Linked DNA regions of Medicago truncatula. The protein of the gene in region 2 interacts with the protein of the main gene of each other region in a biochemical or structural test. Links are inferred from orthologs where the notes say so. Each region holds a gene or a part of one and is shown on either strand. Other genes may lie near its edges. The genes, in order: ADP-ribosylation factor 1 and protein GRIP.

What was found.
Region 1: the proteins of protein GRIP (region 2) and ADP-ribosylation factor 1 form a complex in vitro, tested with the Arabidopsis thaliana proteins (2 studies listed by BioGRID). The link is inferred for Medicago truncatula from reciprocal best matches to the Arabidopsis thaliana genes ATGRIP and ARF3.

Annotation. Positions count from the first base shown.
Region 1 is NC_053045.1:61,803,530-61,815,138, reverse strand, and holds ADP-ribosylation factor 1, read right to left. Parts: upstream 5,951-11,609; 5' UTR 5,664-5,950; coding exon 5,561-5,663; intron 5,481-5,560; coding exon 5,442-5,480; intron 5,248-5,441; coding exon 5,185-5,247; intron 3,701-5,184; coding exon 3,682-3,700; intron 2,450-3,681; coding exon 2,338-2,449; intron 1,480-2,337; coding exon 1,432-1,479; intron 1,247-1,431; coding exon 1,116-1,246; intron 439-1,115; coding exon 405-438; 3' UTR 20-404; downstream 1-19. UniProt on the Arabidopsis thaliana protein: GTP-binding protein involved in protein trafficking; may modulate vesicle budding and uncoating within the Golgi apparatus.
Region 2 is NC_053046.1:9,461,159-9,473,221, reverse strand, and holds the start of protein GRIP, read right to left. Parts: upstream 4,620-12,063; 5' UTR 4,385-4,619; intron 3,551-4,384; 5' UTR 3,514-3,550; coding exon 2,676-3,513; intron 2,556-2,675; coding exon 2,440-2,555; intron 2,025-2,439; coding exon 1,855-2,024; intron 1,507-1,854; coding exon 1,413-1,506; intron 518-1,412; coding exon 431-517; intron 241-430; coding exon 160-240; intron 1-159. Other genes in the region: serine acetyltransferase 2, read right to left, coding at 5,901-5,938, 6,117-6,176, 6,654-6,727, 7,040-7,206, 7,450-7,544, 7,952-7,976, 8,082-8,177, 8,892-8,951 and 2 more. UniProt on the Arabidopsis thaliana protein: Golgi matrix protein playing a role in tethering of vesicles to Golgi membranes and in maintaining the overall structure of the Golgi apparatus.

The DNA.
Region 1 (11,609 bases), on a different chromosome or scaffold from region 2:
ATATAAACAGTGTTGTCACTTGATAAAATGCAATCTCAGTTCAAATCCACATTCATCAACAACCATTGTCATTTACTAAACTGCTATAAGGTTACGTTGAAAACACATAACTCCAATATAAACCCCATGTAGCTCGATTACACAAACAAATTTGAAGACAAATTTTTCTTTCGAAACTACTCTATGCAGAGGGGTCAAGAAATGAACTTGAAAAAACAGCAGCAACAAAAAGACAAACATTCATAGTTAATCTTTGAAAACAAAAAAAGGAATAAAATAGGTGAGCCCAATAACAATAATCATTATAACGTCTTAGTGAAAGTGATACCAAAAATCAAATGTCGACCATCCTTCAGAATTCACCAATCGATTTAAATATATCTAATTTGCTGAAGCTTGCACCTTCAGCCACCTCCAGATTTGAGTGTATTGCTCAACCTACATATTAACATTTGGCATCACGTAACCCCAGTGAGCAACAAGGAAGTGCAAGGTTATATCAAACTTTCAGCTTGAAGCAGTGTAACTCTAAACATCTCGAACAGTGATATTAACATTGGCAAATATCAAACTAGTAGTAACAAGAAAGACCCATTAATAACTACACAACGTAAAAGTCCATAGGCGTATTTCCTAGACCAAGATATACCTCCCTTCACATTTCAAATGTATTTCCTAGACCAAGAAATACCTCCCATCACATTTCAAACGACCATAAGTAAGGTTAAATCTCATACTATTACATTGGGTTTCTATCAGCAGACCATAATAATTTCTACATTTTGCATATATGTCACTAGACAACTATTCAAAACTACCAAGATCGCTGCACATTCATACTTATGTAGCCATAAGAATAACTGTCCTTAAATTTTGTTTGAGATATAAAAAAGGGTTAAATGTATTTTTAGTCCCTATAAAAAAGGGTTAAATTTTGTTTGAAACTGTGCTTTTAATAATTCCTAACTGAGTTGATGATTGATAACATTGGAAAAAATATCCTTTAAATACTGAAAAAATGAAAAAGTATAAATTAACAATGCAGCATCACCTTATTTACGATATTTGATATACTTTAACTACCTTGAAATAGCATTCAACTTTATTAGACTTACCAGTCAAGGCCCTCAAAAAGTCCTTCGCCTTTTATAGCAGAAGTTTTAAAAATAGCCCATTGGCGATTTTTAATCTTGTGCAACTCAAGAGACTCCGTCACTGCAGCATCATCAAGGGCACCTGGTAGGTCCTGCATAATGGAACGGGACACACATGAGAAGTTTTACACTATATTTGCCATATTATCTATGTACATGTGCAAATAATTAGTTAAGCCCGATCATATCAGCTTCATAACTCTTATATATCCAGCCTTTACTTCTTATCCCCCTAGTGAAAATATGAGCATCCAACAACTATGAATCAAATTCTGACCTGTTTGTTTGCAAAAATGAGAACAACTGCACCTTTTAGTTCTTCTTCCTGAAAAAAAGGTTCAGAGAAAATAATTAGTGTTAATTTTGTTATTTGTAAAACTGAAATCACAATCACATCAGACAACAAAACCATAGTCAAAGGAGAAACGGATAAAAATCAATTAGGCATCAAATTTTAACACACACACACACATAAATTAAAAAATGCACTAGATTATAATGACTCAAGAAATGAAATTGACAAGTAGGCACATGCATATTTATTAATCAAATTTCAGATTCATGAAAACACCTCCACAATAAAATTACAATTGCTAAGGATTTGTTTTTTTTGAGAAAACATTATTTCAGTTTATTTTATTGATAAATACAAAATGTCACCATAGTTTTAATTTGTTCCCGACTATCAAGGAGTGCATGAAATGATGAAAACGCAAAAATGTAGTCACCATTTTGTAAACAAATCCTCTAAAACAGTAAATACAATTACAACGAAGTAGCATTTTTGTAATTACCAGTAAAAATAAGGAATAGAAAATAAAAAATTACTTTTTAAACAAAACAGGCCCCTAAACATTCAAAACAAGGATCAAAACCTATTCCAACTAGGATGAATCAAACACCAGAACTAGATTCAGTCAAAAACTAATTCCTCTTAGCTTAGGAGACGCCTATAATCACAAATAACACCTACATCATCCTTCTATAGTCCTCTTTCAAAATGTTCAAGCTTCACGTAATCAATATACTTTAGAAATACAACTTAGAGCCACCAATCCCTTGTAAATTGTAATATAGGCTACAAGAGAATTTTAAGAGGAACAAACTGAATTCTTGCGCCAAAGGTCTAGATGAAGTGTGTGTGTGTGTGTGTGTGGGTGTGTGTTGTATCAGGAACATATACCTCCAGAATTGCATGGAACTCCTCCCTAGCTATCACAAGCCTATCAGTGTCACTTGAATCAACAACATAGATTATTGCTTGAGTATTTGGAAAGTAACACCTCCAATATGGCCTATGGACAAAAAAATAATCAAAGACAGTAAAAGGTTATAGAAATTTACTACATAGTTATTAGGGATGAATTTAGTTTCCCATCTTGTGGTTTGGTCCACCTGGTTTTCAATTTTCCCGTGATTTGTTCTTTTAATCATTCTAGTGCCATATATTTTTTTTTCCCACATTTACAAGTGAAATGGCATGTCAGAACTGAGAAGTAATGTATGCGATCTTTTCTGGGTGTTGAAATATTTTTTGAAATGACATATTTTTGTGCTGCGCATGCTTATACATGCAGTTTTGTTTAAACTGGACAGAAACAAGTATATGATAGCAAAACGATCCTTAAAGGAAATGTAAAAAAAACTCAAATTATAGGGGGACACATCGGAAACGAGCAAGACTGCTTGGGTCTAACACTATAAATAAATTAATACAAGAGAAATTCATCTTTGAATCCATAAGGCATTTCTTTCCACAACATGAGCTACCGTAGTTTCAAAAATGAATAAGATTGTGTTATGTGTTTGATAATATCTAAGCAAGAGTGAGTGACTTAGGTTATTTGTTGGACCGAGATGGTCAGAAGAAATAAGGTATGTTGCCTATAAACAAAAGGAGGGGTTGAAAGAGAGAACCCCTTGTCATTTTGGGAGAGAATTAGGAACTTTAGCAATACAGAGGTGCAGACCCTCCAAGTTCTGTGGCATCTTTCTGTTGTTGGGGGAGTCTTTTTTTTCCCCTAATAAAATACCAGGTTTCTTAACAGATTAAACAGCATATTGAAACTTCTCATTATATTTGGTCCTTAACCTACAATATCGTGCATGATATTGTCATTATGCATTGTTTTTCTTCAATTACGTTTTATTCTTTTAGATTTTAGGCATGTATATTTATATTATTGAAACCTACACACACACACATACTCACACTAATTAACTGCAGAAGGATTGGTATCTTCTTACTAGAAATACACACATCAAGGACTTTATAGTAGGTTCATTTACAGCTAAACAGAAATATGGAAGAGTTAAAGGATTAGAAAAAAAAGGAATTGCATGATGAGTGGAGTAGTCGCAATTGATTTAGATCATAATATTGAATAAGGGATAGAAAAAAATTCTATTGGTATGACATTGTAACACATCAGAAGTCACCAGCTATTGTTGTTATAGTAAATTTTTTTAAAAAAAATACACATTTTCCATCAGTCAAAAGATGCAAGAATGAAACCATAAGGCTTACCTGATACTTGTTTGCCCACCTGTATAAAAAAAAGTTGGATATTAGAAATTGAAACAAGCCAGGGCTTATTATAATAGCACTATGTTATATCATATTAAGTTTCATGTAACTATAAGCTCAACTGACTGTAAGTAATAAACTATATTTTAAGGTTTGATGCCTGTTTATTTTCTTTCATTCATACTAAGAAAATAGTTTGACAAAGGAAAATATAATAAATGTTGTCAAAGGTTTCAGCTTATTTTTATCTTCGCTTGCACTACATCAAAACTTAATACTGCATATAGATAAAAAAACAACTACCAGCCAGAAGAGGACAAAATTATCCAAACTCGCTTTGTTTCGTGTTTCACTTATCACTACAGTACCCAAAAATGAGACCAGCAAACTTTAAGTTTAAAACACGAGCCCATGTATGCTTGCTAGTATTTAACATGAGACAGAAATGTCACGACAGTTGACAGAGTCCTGCGTGTAGGGTTGGAGGTAAGTCAAGCCAGGTTCACAAGTTAATTCAAAATTTCGAGTACAGGATTTTAGTGAGGAACAACAGTGGTTGTTGTATAGGATTTGAGCCTGGCTCATCAAGCTCAAGCAACTTGTTGTGAGCAAGTTATCCGAGCTTCAGAAGAAAAAAATAGGCTAACTTTCTTAATAAGTACTGCTTGTTCATGTTTAAGCCAAACCCGAGCAACACCTTTAGTGGGCAATTTTTGTAGGTAGTTATTGTGTCCTGCGTTTTAGTCCAATTTCCATCCGCTGGTTCATTCCTACCTCTAAGATAAAAGGCCTTAGATTGTCTGGGAAAAACTAATAAAACTTAACTTGGTGTGACATCAAACTCTGTTTTGTTTGCAACCCACAAGTCATTAAGATATGTAAGTCGCCTACTTTATAAAGGGATGGAAATTGGACTAAAACGCAGGACACAATAACTACCTACAAAAATTGCCCACTAAAGGTAGAGTTTTTACCACTAAACATGTAAGGACATGGGTAATTTACCACACTATGGTCATCTATTGTGTTTAATAATTAGGATTTGCAAGACCTTTTAAAAAATCGTTATCTATTATGTTTGATAATTAGGATTTGCAAGACCTTTTGGAAAATTTCACATCGAGTTAGATATTACATTTTTTATAAATAATTTCTCTATTGCTGGTTTTTTACATGTTTAAATTTTAATATAGTGCTTTTGTTTTACAACTTAGAAATAAAATAAAGGGAAAACATATTTCATTGTTTGTTTGTTAAACGTAGTTAGCTCGTACATGCACATGTGCGAATGTACCTTACTCTTTGTTATCCCTATACTAAATTATGATCAAAAGATGCAAAATTGTAAATATAGCATGGTAATCTCAACAATGAAAGATCACATGGTCATCTCTATGACTCTGTAGTCGGTTTCAAATATGTTTAACAGCATGTACACCATAAAACATACATAAAATACAAAAAGAATTCATGTGAACCAAGCAAATTAATTAAAATGATTACCTAAATCCCAGACTTGAAATTTAATGTTGTTATACTGCACAGTTTCAACATTAAACCCGATCGCTGTATCAAATAATCAAATAAACCAATCAGACATCCATCCATACATGCAAGTATAAAAAATAAATAAGATACCCATGCTGTAACATTTTGTTTGAACAAAATAGCATTGCTAATAACTAGAATTGAAAATCTAAAACTAAAAAATTCAGCAAAATGAAGATTCAAAACAATGCAAAACGAGATCGAGTACGAACTTGGAATGGTAGAGACAACTTCCCCCATCTGAAGCCGATCTGAAAAAAAAAATGAAAGAAATTAATAATAAAAATAGCGAATTGAATGAGTAAGATGCAGAGAGTATGAAGAAGCATACAGAGAATGGTGGTTTTTCCGGCATTGTCGAGACCGAGAACGAGAATTCGAGCTTCCTTGTTACCGAAAACAGATGAAAACAGTCTAGTAAATACTAATCCCATCTTCCGATTCGGCGGCAGAGGGATTACGATTAGAACATGAATGAATCAGGTGCAAACGATTCGGATTGAGAATTCTTCGATTATTCTGAAATCGGATCGGATCTCAGAGCAGAAGCAGCGAGAGGAAGTGCATGCGATGCGATTCAAGGATTAAGGTTAGGTTTCGGAAAATAGAAGAATCGAATGGAAGAGGGAAGGACGAAACGATGATGAGAATCAGGATTTGGATTTGGATTCACTCACCCTCTTCTCCTCCACCTTTCAGTTATGGGATCTATTGTTACTTGTTTTCGAAAATTCCTTTTAGACTACAGTATTTGCTAAACTGACAAAAATACCCTCGACCGCTAGAAACTCATGTTTGCTTGTCTATTGTACTTGATTGTCATTGTCCCAACGATAGTTAACGTTGAAATACGTATTTGACTGTCGTTGTCCCAACGGTAGTTAACGTCGAAACATGTGACTTTTGTCGTCTCAACGATAGTTAACGCCGAAACACGTTTCAAGCAAGAACACGTACAAACAACTGTTTAAAGACCACTTAATACGTTTGTAAACAAGACCGACAACAAAGTGATTTGTGATTTTAAACAAGCCCTCATTTCTTTTTAGGTTTTGGATTGAATTCAACCTTTATGAATATCTTCGATTGATCTAACCAATGATGTGTCCAACTCCATCGATTTTATAGTACTGTACTGACCAAATATTTAGATCATGGTTCTCACGTCGACAGTTTTTAAGCTTCATATGGATGAACTGGACGTTTCCATCTAAGTTAGTTGATGAACGACGATACTCAACGATGTCCACCGTTCGTGTCTTTGCGGTTGAATTGACAGTTGATTTGGTATAGTTGATCCTTCAACCCTGAAAATGTGACATCAACTCAAACCCTGAACAAACTGAATTTTCCCCCGCTGTAGTGTTTGGGGTTCTTTTTTGTGTTTTGCAATAGATGAACCAAACACATCGATTAATAAAAGTTTAGACTAAAATGAGCTTTTGACCCCTTCAACTTCCCAAAACCATCGATTTTGGCCCATACTTTTAGCCCTCCATCTTTCATCTCATTTGTAAAAAGTGGCCCTCCTTAATATTGACCTGGTCAAAGCCAATGAGTGGTCGTTTTTTACAATATTAGTATGTGTTTAGAGTTTTTATTTTTCTGAAATTATTTGTCATTTTAAATTTTTGTTTTTGATGAAATATCATTTTAAAAATTAATTCAACATTTATTACATTTTATCGATGTTAAATTTTTTTTAAGGACAATGTTAATTTTATTTATTAAATTAGTTGCAAATATATGATGTATGATGGATAAATGATAAGTGAAAAACACCAAAAAAAAAAATTACTAAATGAAATATAATTTTTTTTGATATATTATTTTATATTGAAATTGATATGATTAATCTTTTTATTAACAGGAATGTACAATTCAATTTTATTTTTTTCAATTAAGTTAGTGGTTAAAGATTGATAAATAGGGAGTTCTAAATGTGTATATACACCTTCCCTAAAAAAAAAAAAAAAAAAAAAAAATTATTATTATAGAAAGACCAGAAAAGCTCTCCACCAAACTCAGTTGAAGATAAATTCTAATTTTCAAGGTTTTGCTACTCGAGTATAAATTGATTTTATGTGACGGCAAGAGATGTAATGTTAAATGAATTAGAAGGAAATCAGTGATTCACACAGGAACATTAATAGAAGCTGAAAAAGTACCATATAAACAAAATTTCTTCCGCATAGTGTGGATTAATGCTTTGACAGAACTATTTATTGAGAAAGAAAGGATCTTCAATTGAGCACTAAACAAGTAGAAAACTTGAGATGTATCATGAATGTTTTGAAATTATTATCATTACCTCAGTTGGATCAACCTCTCCTTGGCTAGCATCTTTGGTCCGTGCATTTGGAAGGGGATGCTCACTCTGAGTCATAATACTACCTTGCTTATCAACTGAAAAATGACAAGTTGATTAGAAACTGCAAGACCTGACTTATGATTTTAATGCTTGAATTTTTAATAAGAGTCATCAACTTATCATATTGATCCTAAGTAATGCTAGGCGAAGCTGCTTTGATGTGACGATGTGATTCTGTGAAGTTGAATTTCATTGAATTCACCCCCATCAGCTGCTGATACATTGTGAACAGAAGAATTGGAATTTCTCTGCACGTAAGGACGAAATCCATGCTTCCTATAGCATACTTCAACAGTGTGTCCTGATGTGTTGCAAAGGGTGCAAAATCTTGCACCATTTTAGAGCAAGAACCAGTTAATAGGAAGATGATTTGTTATATTTGGAGTGAAGTTTCCTGTAGTCAACAACATTAATCAATACTTTGGAATCATCGAGAGGGAGCAAGATTATTCTGTCTTTCATGTTGAATGACCATAGAAAGTATTTTTTTCATAGAGGGTAGAGGATCTAACAATAGAATCTTTCAATTAGTGGATATTTCTCGGTTTAACTAAAGAGATATTATATGCAAGCAAAAAATTATTCTCCAATTCTTTCAGAGACAAATACTTAAATTTTGTGTATAATGCTCCATCAACAATTTTCAAATTCAAACACGGAATATTCTCTTTCATAAATCCTTTAGCTATAAGCTCTTTTGAAAGAAACAAAAATCTAACAAACTCTTCATCCTTCTAATACAGCTATAAACAGAGAGGATACTATAGGGGCATCAAACTGTAAACCAAGTATATTCAAATAAATTAATTATGGTGAATGGTGAAAAATTGTTTAGATAGTTCAAAAACCAGGTAGAAATAGAGACTACATATGGTGGCTGCCTTGACATCTTGTGACATAGAGGGTCAATGGGTATTTGGGTAGCACTCCCATCAGTACCAGCGCCTAAATTCAAAGACAACATCCTATTTTTTGAGTAAATCACATTTTGTGCATTTCATTCAATGTTAATTGTTAGGGAGAAAAAAAGAAAAGAAAAATACATAAACGGACCTTATACTATGATGTGACGCTTTATATACTAATCTCAGTGTCACATAAAAGTTAATTGTTTACCTTTTAAAAAAAGATTATTCAGTGGGAAAAAAAAAATTCAGATAAAGAATTCATCCAATATATGTAGTATGGAAAAATAAAAGTGGAAAAAGGCTTGCAAGAGAGTTGAAAGATATACCTTCACCTGTATTAACCATAAAATAAAGCTACCGTAAAAAGAAAAAAAAAATGACAAATAAAAAAGAGTACAGTAATTAGAATTCATGTAACTTCAATAGTAGTATTAGTATATGTCATGCTCCTTCTTAGTCAACATAAAAATAGAGCATTCATTTCTTGATGCCTGAAATAACCATGTTCACTTTTTTTTTATTTTTTAATCAGCTTATATATATTCCACCAAAATCATACAAGATGGGGAGAAAGGAGGAAAAGCAAAAAACAAAGGGCCACTTGATAGTTGAAAAGGGGAGATAAAATGGATAAGAATTAGCTTTTGAAATAATTAGTGATGTTGTTGGCTATTGGAACAAAACTACAAGAGTGATTTGGATATAATGTGTTTTGGCTCTCGTAAATACGCCAAATCCATCCCTGAAGCATAATTCAACATTCATACGATGATATTTGCTAGAGATTAAAGTATAAATATTGTACTTCACAAAACTCATTTGGTTTAAACTAAGGAAGAGATCGTTAAAACCACATTTTTCTAGCTCATAATTGTGGACGAATTCTCCTGAAGTTTGTTCTAGATCTTCTTCTTCTTCTTCTTCTGCAAAAAGACAAAATCAGAGTACAAAACATCACACGGTGGATACATATAGAATAATGTAAAAAGGGAGCAAGGCTTTATCCCCTAGAACATAACATGTCCTTTCGTCCCTGTTTAGAAGTATACTCCAAAAATATGTGAATCGTTGTAGAATTCAGATGGTGAAATACACTCACTCAATAACAAATGATGTTTGATTTATGTGTGCACAAGTAAATAAGTCACATTGTGCATAAATATATTTTTATCATTATATCAATCAATAAGTCACATTTGATCAGAGACAGACTCAGAAGTTTCCAGTAGTGACGGCAATATATATATAATTAAAAAGCATTAAATGTATTTTTTTTTTTAGAGAATTAAATGTATTTCTTACAAAACATAAATATACATCATAGTTGGTTGTTGTGTGCAATTTTTCATATTTTAAAAACATTAAATATTTTCTAATTTTAAATTTCATTAAAAAACTTTTTATATAAAATTAAATAAACAATCATTTAATCATTCATCTCTCTTGCAATTTCGCATTCAATTCTTGATAATATTCATAGTAGAGAAAACTCTATCAACAATTGCGCTTGCCAAATATTGAAGCAACATGTTTTGAAGCAACTCTTAAATCAAATATATCGACAAGTACGCAACATGTTTTTTTTTTCCCGTCTATACTATAACCTACTACAAAGATGGTCAAAATATGTATATTTGTGTGTGCGCGTGCGAGCGCGATATTACAAAGATCATTTCAGTTGAGCATGTATCTTACTAATGATATTTATTTTTATTTTATTTTTTGCAAATAAAAATGAGGGTCAAGGCCCACTATGTGTTCAACATCGGCCGTTAGAAAATTGCTCTTCTCCCAAATATTTTTGCTCATTCCCACCAAAACTACCGAAAAAAATAACTTCAACGTGAGTTAACTCACGTTCGATATAACAAACATGCGTTAATATACATTGCTCCGACATAAGTGAAATCACGTTCAGAACACCGGTGTGAGTTAACTCACATTAGTAACATTTTTGCTTTTTCAAATAATGTACAATACAAATGGGAAACAAACTGCTGTTTTTCTCGACTATGATGGAACTTTCTCTCCAATTGTAGCAGATCCAGATAAAGCCTACATGAGCAAAAAGGTTGATCTTTTGTTCACTAACGTTTGATTCTGAATTCATTTTATAAAATTGATAGAATGTAACTTTTTTTTTTTTATTGAATTATATGAGAGTGACATTGAAGGACCTAGCAAGACATTTTCCCATGGCCTTTGTTAGTGGAAGATGGTTAGACAAGGTACATTTTTTTAATCCCCATGAGCTTAGTTCAGTTCGTAGGGATATTGCATATTATATACAGGAGCTGGGATTCGAACCCCGGACACTCCACTTCTCCACAATTAAATTGTGTGAGCTCTAGCCACTAGGCTACTTGACCAAAAAAAAAGTACATTTTTTTAATCAAATAATCTCATCATTTTAGTATATTTTTTTAAAAAATAAAATTATTTTGTATATAATTAATTTGGATTTTCTTTATAATTTTGTTTTGTAGCTATTTAGCTTTGTTGGCTGAACTATACTGGAAGCCATGGGATGGATATCAAGGGACCAACAAATAGGAGAAGCAATAAAAAAGTGAGAAATAATTTCTCTATCCAAATTATTGCGACGGAGATTATTATATTTTGTTTTTTTTTTTTTTAACAAAAAAGAAATCTATTATTATTTCAGGGTAATAATGATGGGGGTACTTTTGCAGTCTGCTAGTGAATTCTTGCCAATTATCAATGAGGTTCGTAGCTTTTAATTAATTATTATTACCACCAAATTGAATCTGCATTCCCATAGTCAAGATGTGTGGCAATGGAAAAATGACTGAAAGAGCAAAAAAAGTTACCAACGTGACTTAATTTACGTTGGTGTTTTGAACGTGATTTAACTCATGTTGGAGCAGTTAATGCACGTTGGTTATACTATGGTTTCAATCAACAAAAAAATTAATATTATTGTGGTTGTCATTCAGGGACAGACCCAGAAGTTTCGACTAGTGAAGGCAATATACATATAATTAAGAAGTATTAAATGAATTTTTTTAAAAACATAAATAAACATCATAGTTGTTGTGTGCAATTTCTCATATTTTAAAAACATTAAATGATTTTCTAAT
Region 2 (12,063 bases):
GTAAAAGTAGATACTAAAGAAGCTAAGCATGAACTGAAAAATAAAGCCACATGTGGATATTTCTTAACTTATGAAACATTATTTTCAACTTAGCAGCTTCTCCTCCCCACCTTGTTGAAACATATCATGTATGGAAAAGCTCATGATCATAAAATTCACCTGCAGTGAAGAAATGGATTCAGCTGCCTTTCTCCTATCAGATACAGCATCATTGAGTTGAGCCTCCAAACTCTCCATATTCTGCAGAAAACAAACATTGAATTGAAGCCAAGGTGAAACTATATACAAATGTCATAGTAGAGATGAAAGATCACTTTCTGATCAGTAGAATAAGGAATCTGATGAGTGATGAAAGATTACAAAATCCTCCAAAACGAGAAACTAAGAATACAGCCAGGCAAAGATGATAAAATATACACACAACACATACCTTTTGATGTTTAGCAGAGAGCTCAGCTAGTGCAGCTTGCCTTTTTTCCTCGGCAGTTCGAAGCAATCCTCTCATATCTTCCAGCATCTGAGTTGTCAAATTTTATTTTGTGATATCCAATAAACAGTGTTATATAATTACTTACAAGTGATGTACTACAAAAATAACATAAATACACAAGTTTGATGATACCGATACAAATGTAGAGAAAAGAAGTTACAAGAATTTGAAATACCACAATTTCTGCGAAAAATATCTGCTATTGTTCATAAAAACTGTTTGAATCAAGGGGAGAAAAACACAAAGCAAACACTTAAAGTTTGACAAAAATGATTTAATTCCTATAAAAATGTCTTGACTTATATAATAAGAGGATAAAAAAAAGGACTCTTATGTCGAACACCATTTTAAGGAATAGAGTACCAGTCTAAGAAAGGATGACATAGCCATAAGCTTTGGCCTGTGAGTGTGTATTGGGATATATAGAACTTAGCTTATTCTAAGTCGTTAGTTCTCTAAGATAGAGTAAGCATTTTTTTAAAAATCCATGTAGCCAATGGCCAATAGAAGAGTGAAGCGGCTGACCCCTACAGCTAGTGGTTGCTACAACCGCTACCCAAAACTGCAATGCAATGGGGTTTGGCATAACACCAAGGAGATGCTACACTACGGTCTCTATTGGCTACGCTCTAAATACAAACTTGTGGTTGGGCAGAGGCAGCAAAATAAGTTAGTTGGGTAAAACAGCAAGTGTGCACATATTCTTTAATAAAATGCAAAGCCCTAATTATTTAGTTTACAGCCATGATTAGTGTACTGACTACTGAGTCAAGTTAAAGATGCAAACATCGACAAGATACAAGACACGAGTTATAACCAGTTACCAGTAAGACGAAAGTGCTAAACACAATATACATACAGAAGATCTAAATCAAATAAACACTTCCCCCCCTATTAAAATATATGGATAATTTGTATGTACCTGTTCCTTTTCTGCAAGTGACAATTGCAATGACTCAAGAGCCTCTTCTTTAGGTTGCAATGAACGCCGTAAATCCTCAATGGTATCTCGAAGTCTGAGCAACACAGATTTTTTTAACTAATTATAATATAATTACAAATAGGATGAGTGTCTTGAATTCTCCTTTTTCCATAAATATCTAGAATTAGTTTATTTAGACACATCAAAAACATTTTGTTAGCCTAGAGGCCGATTTTAAAGCAACCTTCTAGGAATAATTCATGATCAACTTAACACAGGTTACTTTCTAATAATTCCTACATAGCCCAGTCAGTTGAAATCAGGGTTTACCAATAAAACAGAACATAGCTTATCCTGACACACCTGAAGATGCACACATTTCTAGGTAATGAATGTGTTTATTTATCAGTCATCGTGATGAAAAGTAAGTTAGTGTACTTACTTGTTGTTTGCACTTCTTAATTGTTGCCTATCACCATCCATGGCTTTCAATGCCTCATTTGCTTGTTTCCTTGTTCGCTCTAACTCTTGTTGCAATGCTGACTGTTGGGATGATGCTCGCTCAGCAGATTCATTTAACTCGGAGAATCGTGCCTCAAGATCGTCTTTTTCCTGCGGATGAAAAAATGAACTCACTTCTATATAAATATAAAGAAAATAATCCAGTTAAGTGCCTCAGTAAATTGCTTCAGGAGGTTTTGCTGAAGCACTAAATAAGAACATCCTTATTTTGTGCTTATATAAGAATTTTGTGGGCCAGGTTCATAATTATAAGCAAATAGATCATACGGATACCACAATTTCAATCACATAAGATAGCAAAGGTGAAGAGTACTCTCACTCGCACAAACTAATAATGTGGCTACACTGCCTAAGTTTAAGAGGGTGGGGGAGTTTAAGTGGCCCGCTTGATTAGAAGTTTGAGCACATGATAAGAGATTGTTCAGGTAGCATTACTTCAAGGAAATATAGACAATATCAAAATCAAAATATTAACGAGCCAGAAAAGAATATAGCAATGTTTCACCTTTTGAACTTCTTGAATGCGTTGTTTTGCCCTTTTGTGAAGCCTATTCAACTTGGCGTCAAGTTCAGAGTACTTCTCATCACGTTCTTTTATTTCATGTTCCAACTTATTTTGAGCTACACAAGAAAGTAACACAATGCATTCATTCAAAGGAAGATAAAATTTTCTAGAGCAATATTAATTTCTTCATGTCTTTATGACTTTAGCAACCACTATGCGCACAAACATAACCACACCTTCTACAAGCTGCTCAGAGAGATCTTTGGCCTTTGCTTCTGCATCTGAGTACGCAATTTGAAGGTGCTTCAAAGCTTCTTCGGATGCAATTCTGGTTTGTTTTTCTATCAGAAATTCTTTATTCAATAATTCTATCCTTTCTCGAAGTTCTTTCACAATGTCAGATTCCCCGTCTTCCGTACCACCAACTTCTTTCTGCATACTGGATTCCCTACTTACACTCTCAACATTGCTAAACCCCTCAATCTGGGATTTCAAGAATTCATTCTGAGATTTCAGGTCAACAACCATTTGCAGAAGCTCATCGTGAGTATCAGCCGAACCTTCATTTCCATCAGAGAATCGATTATCCAATACAAGATTTGTATTACTTCCATCTTTGCTTTGCTGATTCATATCAGAATCAGACAAATGCTCCTCAGGTTTTGACGAATCTTGTGCGTGAATCTCCATCATTCTACCAGTATCAGCCAGACCTTCGTTTCTATCTGACAAATGCTCCTCTGGTTTACATGAATCTTGTGCGTGAATCTCCATCGTTCCACCAGTATCAGTCGGACCTTCGTTTCCATCTAACAAATGCTCCTCGGGTTTAGACGAATCTTGTGCGCGAATCTCCACAGTTCCACCAGTATCAGCCGGACCTTCATTTCCATCAGATAAGCCATTTTCAAATACAATATTTACATCACTTTCATCCTTCCTTTGCTGGTTCATATCAGAATCAGACAAATGGTTTTCAGGTCTAGAGGAATCTTCTGCGCGTATCTCCATCTTTCCACCAGTATCACCTTCACCAGATGCCATCGACTTCTTGTTTTTTTTGGAACGCCCCATTATCAACTTCTCGTATCACACGTTTTACCAGCACAAGCTGCAATTCAACATCCAATAGCCATAAGCCTACTATGTTATACATATTGAAAATTTCAATTGAGCATGCATTCATGATAAAAATTCTTGCCATTTAAAGATCTATGAAGCACAGACACGTGTCCAATTGTCGGACACGCGTAGGTGTCACGCTGACACAAATAGTTACATTGAATTATGTGATTTTCTCAAATTATTATTGGTGTCGGCGTGCCAGTGTCCGTGTCGGTATTCGTGCTTCATAGTTAAAAATTGAAACATTTTGAGACTATGTTTGGTTCCACATTTGGAGTGGCCTGAATTAATTATGGAGGTGTAAAATTGACTCTGGCATGTTAGTTTTGCTCTCAAGTAGAATTAATTTCGCCTCCAAAATTGATTCCAACTTAAAGCTAAGATTTGTAGCTTTTAAGTCTAAATGTGATGTGATTTTCACACTTAACTTTATTATTCAACTCGCATTACATAAATGTAAACAAACATAAGCCACTTCACATTCAATTGATTCAAAATCAATTTTTATCACCACATAACCAAATATGTACTAAATCTATCGATCACAATTCAAAAACTATTTGAACGACTAATCCAAACATTAATAAATTTAAATTACTTGAAATTCAACTCCAAAATGTTGCATCCATAATAATCCATACAACTGAACCAACTTTATGAACTTTAACCATAATGTATAAACAAGTTACATAATCAGCAAAAACAAATCAAAAGCATTACTCAATTTTCACAATATCATTGCGATGTGTGATTGAATTAGAAATGAAGACGAATCTAGAAGCGTTATTGAATAGTAGAGATTCTGCAGAATTGAGTGTACCTTGTATTGCACAAGTATGAGGAGGAAGCGGGAACCGCCGGTGAAGGTGAGATCGCCGGCGCCGGTGGCAAAATGGATCTGAAGCTGCGGCGGATGTTAAGGGGAGAAAACGGTGCCGTTTAGGAATGTTCAGTCCAGTCACCGTCTCGTTACGTTTGTAGTTCGAACAATGAAAGAAAGAGGTTCGGATCCAGTTACTGAGATTGTAATAATTTGATTTCACAGGGATGTTCTAGTAATCTCGTCCTACTCAAAAAAAAATTATAAGTATAGGTTTTGTAATAATTTGTAATTATGGCAGAGTATATTCCAAGTTTTCTTTAATTTATTTTTACCTTAAGTTTTCTCTTAGGAAGTATTCATAGACTATCCAAAAGTACATAGATTCTAAATTATCTCTTTCAATGAAAGTGAGAATGCAACCGTCTTGAATATTTTGGGGAGAGATTTTTCATTAAAGAGATTTTATCAAACTAAACAGATTAATCTTTGCAGTTGCATGACGAATTTTATCTGATTCACGCTAATCAATTGCTAGTTGATCATTTTTAGTAGAGGTCTCTCCTTCTAACAATATTGTTTTCTATATACAGAGATAAATCATCTTATTTTAAAGATGAGTTTAGCTTCACTTTAACATTTTTTTAATAGGCAAATATTTGTAATTTGATGTTACATTAATATTTTCTCTTTGTCTAAAGTTTGAAACATCCAATTCATTCAACTCTTAACTCAAATTAGACAAGCTACTCAATCTTCCTACATATTGCAATCATTTTTTGAGTAATCAAGCAATTTGTTCTGCATACAAAGGATAATCTTGCACATTGTGGATCAAAATATGTGGATTTACATTATGTAAGTAGTTTTAATTTCATCCCCTTGAAATATCTCAACACTTATTTATCGAATCTCCGTTGTCCGTTGATGTTTGAAATTTAATGCTGACTTGGTCATCACCCATTATTTTTGACAAGGGGTGAAAGCTAAATTTTGTTGTGATCTTTTTTCTTTGCAGTATTTTAATGCATGTTTGGATTGACAGTGAGTTTAGTGGATTCACAATTTTGGCAAAACCTACACTTTGGAACTTAGACAAAATCACGGTGTCACCGTTATATTGTTAAACTCGCCATGATTCCAAACATGTCCTTAGCTTAGTGGTCTTTAAATCCTCCTTTCATCGAGAAAAAGAAACAAAGTTTGTTTGAAGAGCTAAATACCAGATGGGATATCTGTCACCTAAGCTCAGATGTTAGAAGGAAAAGGAAAAGGACCAAGAAGCAAGTGATAAGAGACATGTAGCATCTGCTTTAAAGTTTGTCTACAGAAATTTGCTATACTGGTGCAAGAACCTCGGCACTCAGCAGCAAAAATTGCAAGTAAAATAAATGTATTATTAATATATGAGATCCACTACATCGCTTTGAACTGATCATGATTCTAACATTAAGTACAACAACATCCTTCCTTTGAAGACAATCGATCCAAACTGAGATCTAGGCAACCAATCCACTCAAGTGTTCACTTCGATTTTGTCTGGATTTTGTTCTCCTGCAACATATTAAAATATCTAAGGCATAGAGAACAAGAAAATAATTGTAGTTAACCGCTTGTACAATGTGATAAGAACGCCAATTGAGGACCGAAAATGCGCTCATAAATTCTATTTGTAGTGGAAATTTTCTCGAATTTAAACAGGAAGATAAGACTTGAAGAAAAGAAAACTAACCACTGGACTTTTCATCTCTAAAGTTAGTAGCTACATGAGAGAAAAATTGTTTTGTAGCATCTGCCCAATCAGGAGAACAAATATTATGTGATATCATGAACAATGAAATATATTGTCAATACGATTCTGCTAGGGAAGTTTCCTAAAGAATAGATGACAATATGATAGTGCCGTAAAAACCAACAAAACAGATTCATCAGTATGTCCTACAGACCGGTATTCCAAGTGACTCAGATATGTTTCATTTTTGGTGGATTCTTATAAATAAAAAGTAAAATTAATTTCAAAATTATTTTCATAGGCAACATGTATTGGAAAAATATAAATTACTCCAATGATGGGTTAAAATGAATCCTATAGTCTATAGTTTCTGCCGCATAAAAGGAACTGCAGTGCGAGAGTAAAGCAGCCTCCTTGTATCATACAAAAGCATAATTATGTATTCCATAAGAATTTCACAACGTAAATATAATTTCCGTCAAAAACTACAAATTAGCATAGTCATCGATGATATGTCATGCTCAAAGGTTTGCTTACCATGTCTCATGGTCAAAGATGGGTCATGCTCCCGGAGACCTCCAATAACTTTAGCCGGTATTCCTGCCACAATACTTAAGACAAAGCAAACAAAAAATAAATACAAAATCATCACCTTCTAATATGAAACAAATCAGGTAGCAAGTACTAAGCATGTGTTCACAATTGAGGATCGCAGAAAATAGCAGTTTGCTCAAATTCCGCTACACAACAGTGCTATAGCACCACCACTATAGCCGCTATTTCATAATATTTTGTACTAAATAGCATATTGCATAACAATAGCATTTTGTTTCAAATTCCGTTATGAGATATCGCTTAGCACTGCTATTTAATAACATTGCCAGGCATTTTTTATAGACAATTAGATAGATATTCATTAATACCTGCGCGGAGGGGCATCTTTCAACACAAGGGAGCCAGCAGCGATCATCACACCTTCACCAATTTTTATATTTCCGAGTATAGTTGAACCAGCTCCAATCAGTGCCCCTTCACCTACTTTAGGATGGCGATCACCTGATTCCTTCCCTGTGCCTCCTAATGTCACAGCCTGCCAAATCAAACATATATGATCATCTAAAGAGCATAATGAATGCATGAGTCAAAAAGCTTTGTCAAAAAAGTTGTTTAAGTTCAATTGTAATCTAATGAACCCATTTCATAAAAGTAAAATCAGATTAGCTTTCAAAAACTGTTTCCAGGACTATTATCATTTCAATGAAGGTTTGTTAACGAATATGCAAAAATAACTAGATAAATACAATAAAAGATATTAATGAAGAAACACACTCACTTGCATCAATGAAACTCTGTTTCCAATAACAGCAGTTTCACCAATAACCACGCCTGTCCCATGATCTAATAAAATTCCCTCCCCAATTTTCGCAGCTATATAAAAAACCATAAAATGTAAAGTTCAACCGTAGTAATAATAATTAAGTGATATATAATCAATGACCAAAGAGCTTTCAATATCTTCAGTGGAGAGACAAACACCCTTCAAGACAGAACTTTATCTGTCAGTTGTCATACAAAGAATGCTGAAGTAAGGATAATCATTAATCATCAACTTGCTTCCAAGAATTAAATATTGAACCCTCAAGAATACCTTCTGCTTCAATGATACCAATCTCCGTTATTCAAAATAATAATAAATTCGCAGGCACAAAGTGAATCTATTTGCAACATTATATTGCTTCTTCGATGATAGAAATTTATTACATGTAAAATATGTCAATTTGTGCTTAATTAAGTTATTTATTATACAATCGAAAGCAAATATGATAACAACTTACCAGGGTGAATGTCAATTCCAAAAACCTGTGAAGGAAAGGACGAGGGGTTCGATTATCAGTGACAGAAACAGAAATATGAAATCCATTTGTGTCTATTGGATTTATCAAGTTTAGTCCAATAGTAAGCTACCTCGCTAACACGGCTTTGCAAAGCCAAGGCCAAGACTTTGCGTCCCTGGTGCCACAATGCATGAGCTACTCGATAAACTTGCAGAGAATGGAAACCCTGTTGCCAAAACACAACATTGAATGTCAGTCCTATGAAGCTATTATATGCATGAAAAAAGGGCATTATGAAGACGTAAACGCCAAATCCACAATAAAACATTTTGGTTGTAATCGCACGAATACAATGATATCAATGCAAATACATTGAATTGAGTACACAAGCCAGTAGCATCTGATGGTGCTGAAACTGTGAAAAAGCTAGCAGCACCCACAACTCCATGAATGTAATTAGGTTGTATAAAGAGCATAACAATTTTTCAAATCTCAAATTTCATGTAGCTTTTAGTGTAAAACAACACCTATAACACTTATGGTACTATAGCTAAATTTTGTTCTTAAAAAAATCCAATAATGATTGGAGCAATTTTACTCACTAACAAATCCTGTTGCAACAGTGAGCATCACTAAATTTGGTAGTCCTGCTCCTTATTCAGTGGTCCCTATAAATTGTACTTTTACCAAACAGTAAAAACTTTCTGAGAAGAAAAGATGCAGTATAGAAAGTGATGCTATGAATGCGGTGGGTCCCTATAAACTTGTGGTGCTAGCACTTCAAAAAAATTACTTTTTGTGAAAGCTAAAAAAATACAAAACTTTTACAAATAAGGGTATTGCAGAATTAACTTTAAAAAGTCCATTATCCCCTAATAATGGAAGCAAGAACAAAGTGCATTATCAGAAAGCAATAAGAAGTCCAAGTCAGAAAGTAAACCTTCATATACAAAATTGCTGAGCAATATGACAAACATGCAGGGTCCCTGTCTTTAAATGCCTGTTTACAAATATAAACAAGAATTAAATTATATCACCATCAGCAAACACTTTCAATCCAATATAAAATTAAATTAAAAGACTAAATTACCAATAACGTCTCGAATTCGACATATTAAAACATAAATGACACATAACGGATTTTTTTTGTTATAAAGAGTCTGGCGGCGAGACTAACACAAACTATACTTACCGTCTATACGTAACGGATTTAATCAGTGTACGAAATATGTACACGTACACGTGCATTCAATCATATCTTACCGACATAATAAGTATGTAGTAATTTCGGATAGTATTAAAACATAAACAACCCATAACGGATTATTTTAGTTAAGATGAGTCTGGCGGCGATATATAGTACAAAATATGTACACGTGCATTCAATCATCTCTTACCGGACACATTAAATATATAGTAATTTTGGGTCAATTGAAATCACCTGAACATCGAGGCGGATTGATCGCTGAATAGCTTTGTCATGCATGAAAACATTGCAGATTATATCCATCAGCTGTGTAGCCAAAAGAGTAGGACTTTGAAGACGGTTAGCAACAACAAAAGCTAGGACTTGCTCCAAACACTCATGTGCTAAAACACTTGCATACAAAAAGCTACTCAAAACTGGTTCCTTCTCTGCCTGCACCCCCAAATTCAACACAACACCCCTCAATTAATCTACTAATAACTTCACGATCAAAAAATCTTTTTCAAACACAACCAACTCAAATCAAACTAATGATGTCAATTTAGTTCTGAAAGTAACAATGGCAAAATAAATAAATATACAAAAAAAAAAAATTACTTTCAGATACTAAATTGCGAACAAAAATATAGTAATGCATGTTTGATATCACAGTGTGTTACGTAATTTTGCAAAAGTTACACGCAAATTTGCTATTTGAATGACAAAACAAAATACAAGTGTGCTATCACCATCACCGTGAGCCACTGTGATTTTGCAAAAGCTACACTGCGAAGTTTGCCTCATTTTAATAAAACAGTAAAGAAGTAAAAAAAAATATATATATATATTAACCTCATGCTTAGCTTCTTGCTTAACAGCTTCCCAAATAGGGTCAGACACGTCTAAGATGGATTCAGGATCCGGGTCAGGTAAACCCATAGCATAAACAGGAAAAACTTTTTCAAGACGGTAGGAAGAAGAGAGAGGGAAGCGTTTCTCAGAGACCATGTTGGAGAGATTAAGCCAATTGTGATGAGTCACACAAGCCATGCGAGTACTTAATAAGAAGAAGAGAAAGAGTAACTGAAGTAGTGTATGGTTTTGAGGGGGTGTAATAGTAAAACAAGTGGTAGTGTATTAGTAGTAACAACAAGTGATGATGACGATGATTCTTTGCTTTGTTTTGAGTAGTGGTGTTTTTGGCACATCATCGCAGGAAGGAACCGTTACTGTTGTTGGGAAATGGTGGTGTTTTCGGGTTACACGCACGGGGATAAGGAAAAAAGTGGAAGTACAATTATTTTAATGTTGTTGTAAAAGTGTGTGTGCATGAAAAAAAATGCAACTAGTATCGAAACAAAACAAAGTGAAACAGAAAAAGAAGCATGTTGGATGGTTAAGAATGAAATAGCCTTTGTTGGGTGGGTGATTGCTTTGCCCTTTTTCCAATTTGAGCCGTTCAATCAAATCAAAAGCTTCACGCCTTTTTCTTTTACTTATTTTATTTTTCTTAAAACCCTAATAATCTTTTTTTTGAAAGAAAAACCCTAATAATCTAAAGTTTGGTTCAAATGGAAATAAGGTTTGAGAAATAATTGTTTCATTGGAAGATAGAATTAGTGGAGAACTGTAAGATTTTGTTGACTAATGTTTCTTTGAAGTTTGAAGCATAATCCGAAAGACATGTGAAAATGAAACCATAATTTTGACGGCAGATTACACAGTTATAGAAGATTACCGTTGATTTTCAATGTAGATTTTATATCATATCCGTCGTTGTTTAACGCTACATGGAATAGATTGTTAACAACAGAGATATCATTGTTTGTGTGAGTGGTTGTTAAATGATCGCCTATCAACGAAAGATATTTTTCTTCGATGTGGGATTCATAATATTGAATCTCCCTTTTTTGTGAGGGAGTTGCAATATGAATGAAACATCTCATCGTATATATTTTTAGTATCATTTCTTTGACGCGGTTTGGTCTAAGATTTTGTGTTGGTTTCAAATAATTTAAAAACTCAAATGAAGATTTATATTATCAGAATAGAATAGATGAATGATTGGTTGGCAACATAGTTGTGGGTTGTGACTCTATGCTCTTTTTTGTGGTGGTCGAGGTTTGAATCCATATTATACATTGTCTCTATCAACTGAGTTAAGCTTACGAGGACACTCTATGCTCTATTTTACCTGATGAATAAAGAGACATTTTTGTCTTGATTATCTAAAATATATATTTTGTATCATGACAACACTCATGCTAATACTCTCATTTTAATACTCGTTCTTGCGTAAAAGTGGTTCACTGTCGTTTTGTATTGAAAAGAGAGTGTTGGGCAGATATTGCTAGCACGTTTCAAGTTTTATACGGTGGACCGTTTAATATGTATTGTGTAAAGTGATTTTCTGTCGATTTCATATTGAAAATAGAGTATTAGATTGGTATTGCTAGCATTATTCAAGTTTAATATGGAGAAGTGGCGAATCTGGAGTTCGAACTTCAACCCTTGTATACTTGTTTACCAACTTAACTGTGTTTACAAGACTAGCTAGAGAAAGAAAATTTTGTTTAATGAGATTTCCATTCTCTTTCCACTAAATATCAATTACTAGTTTTATCTTTAATCGTTTATAATTAAGTGTTCTAAAGGCGTTGTTTAAAGAATATTTTCTTGAAAATACAAATCAAACATATATGAAAGTAATAAAAACTCATTTTTCTTTGCAAAAGTTATCACTTTAGAAGTCCCACATCGATTATATCAAAGTACTTGATGTGGTCATCATAGGCTTAAGTCCTAATATTCCCAACCCAAAAGACTAGTATATCAAACATTTTGATATACTCGATGTGGAACTCCTAACACACTTTTGATTAGTTAAACAATACTCTATGGAAACTTATTAGGATTTTTCTATAAT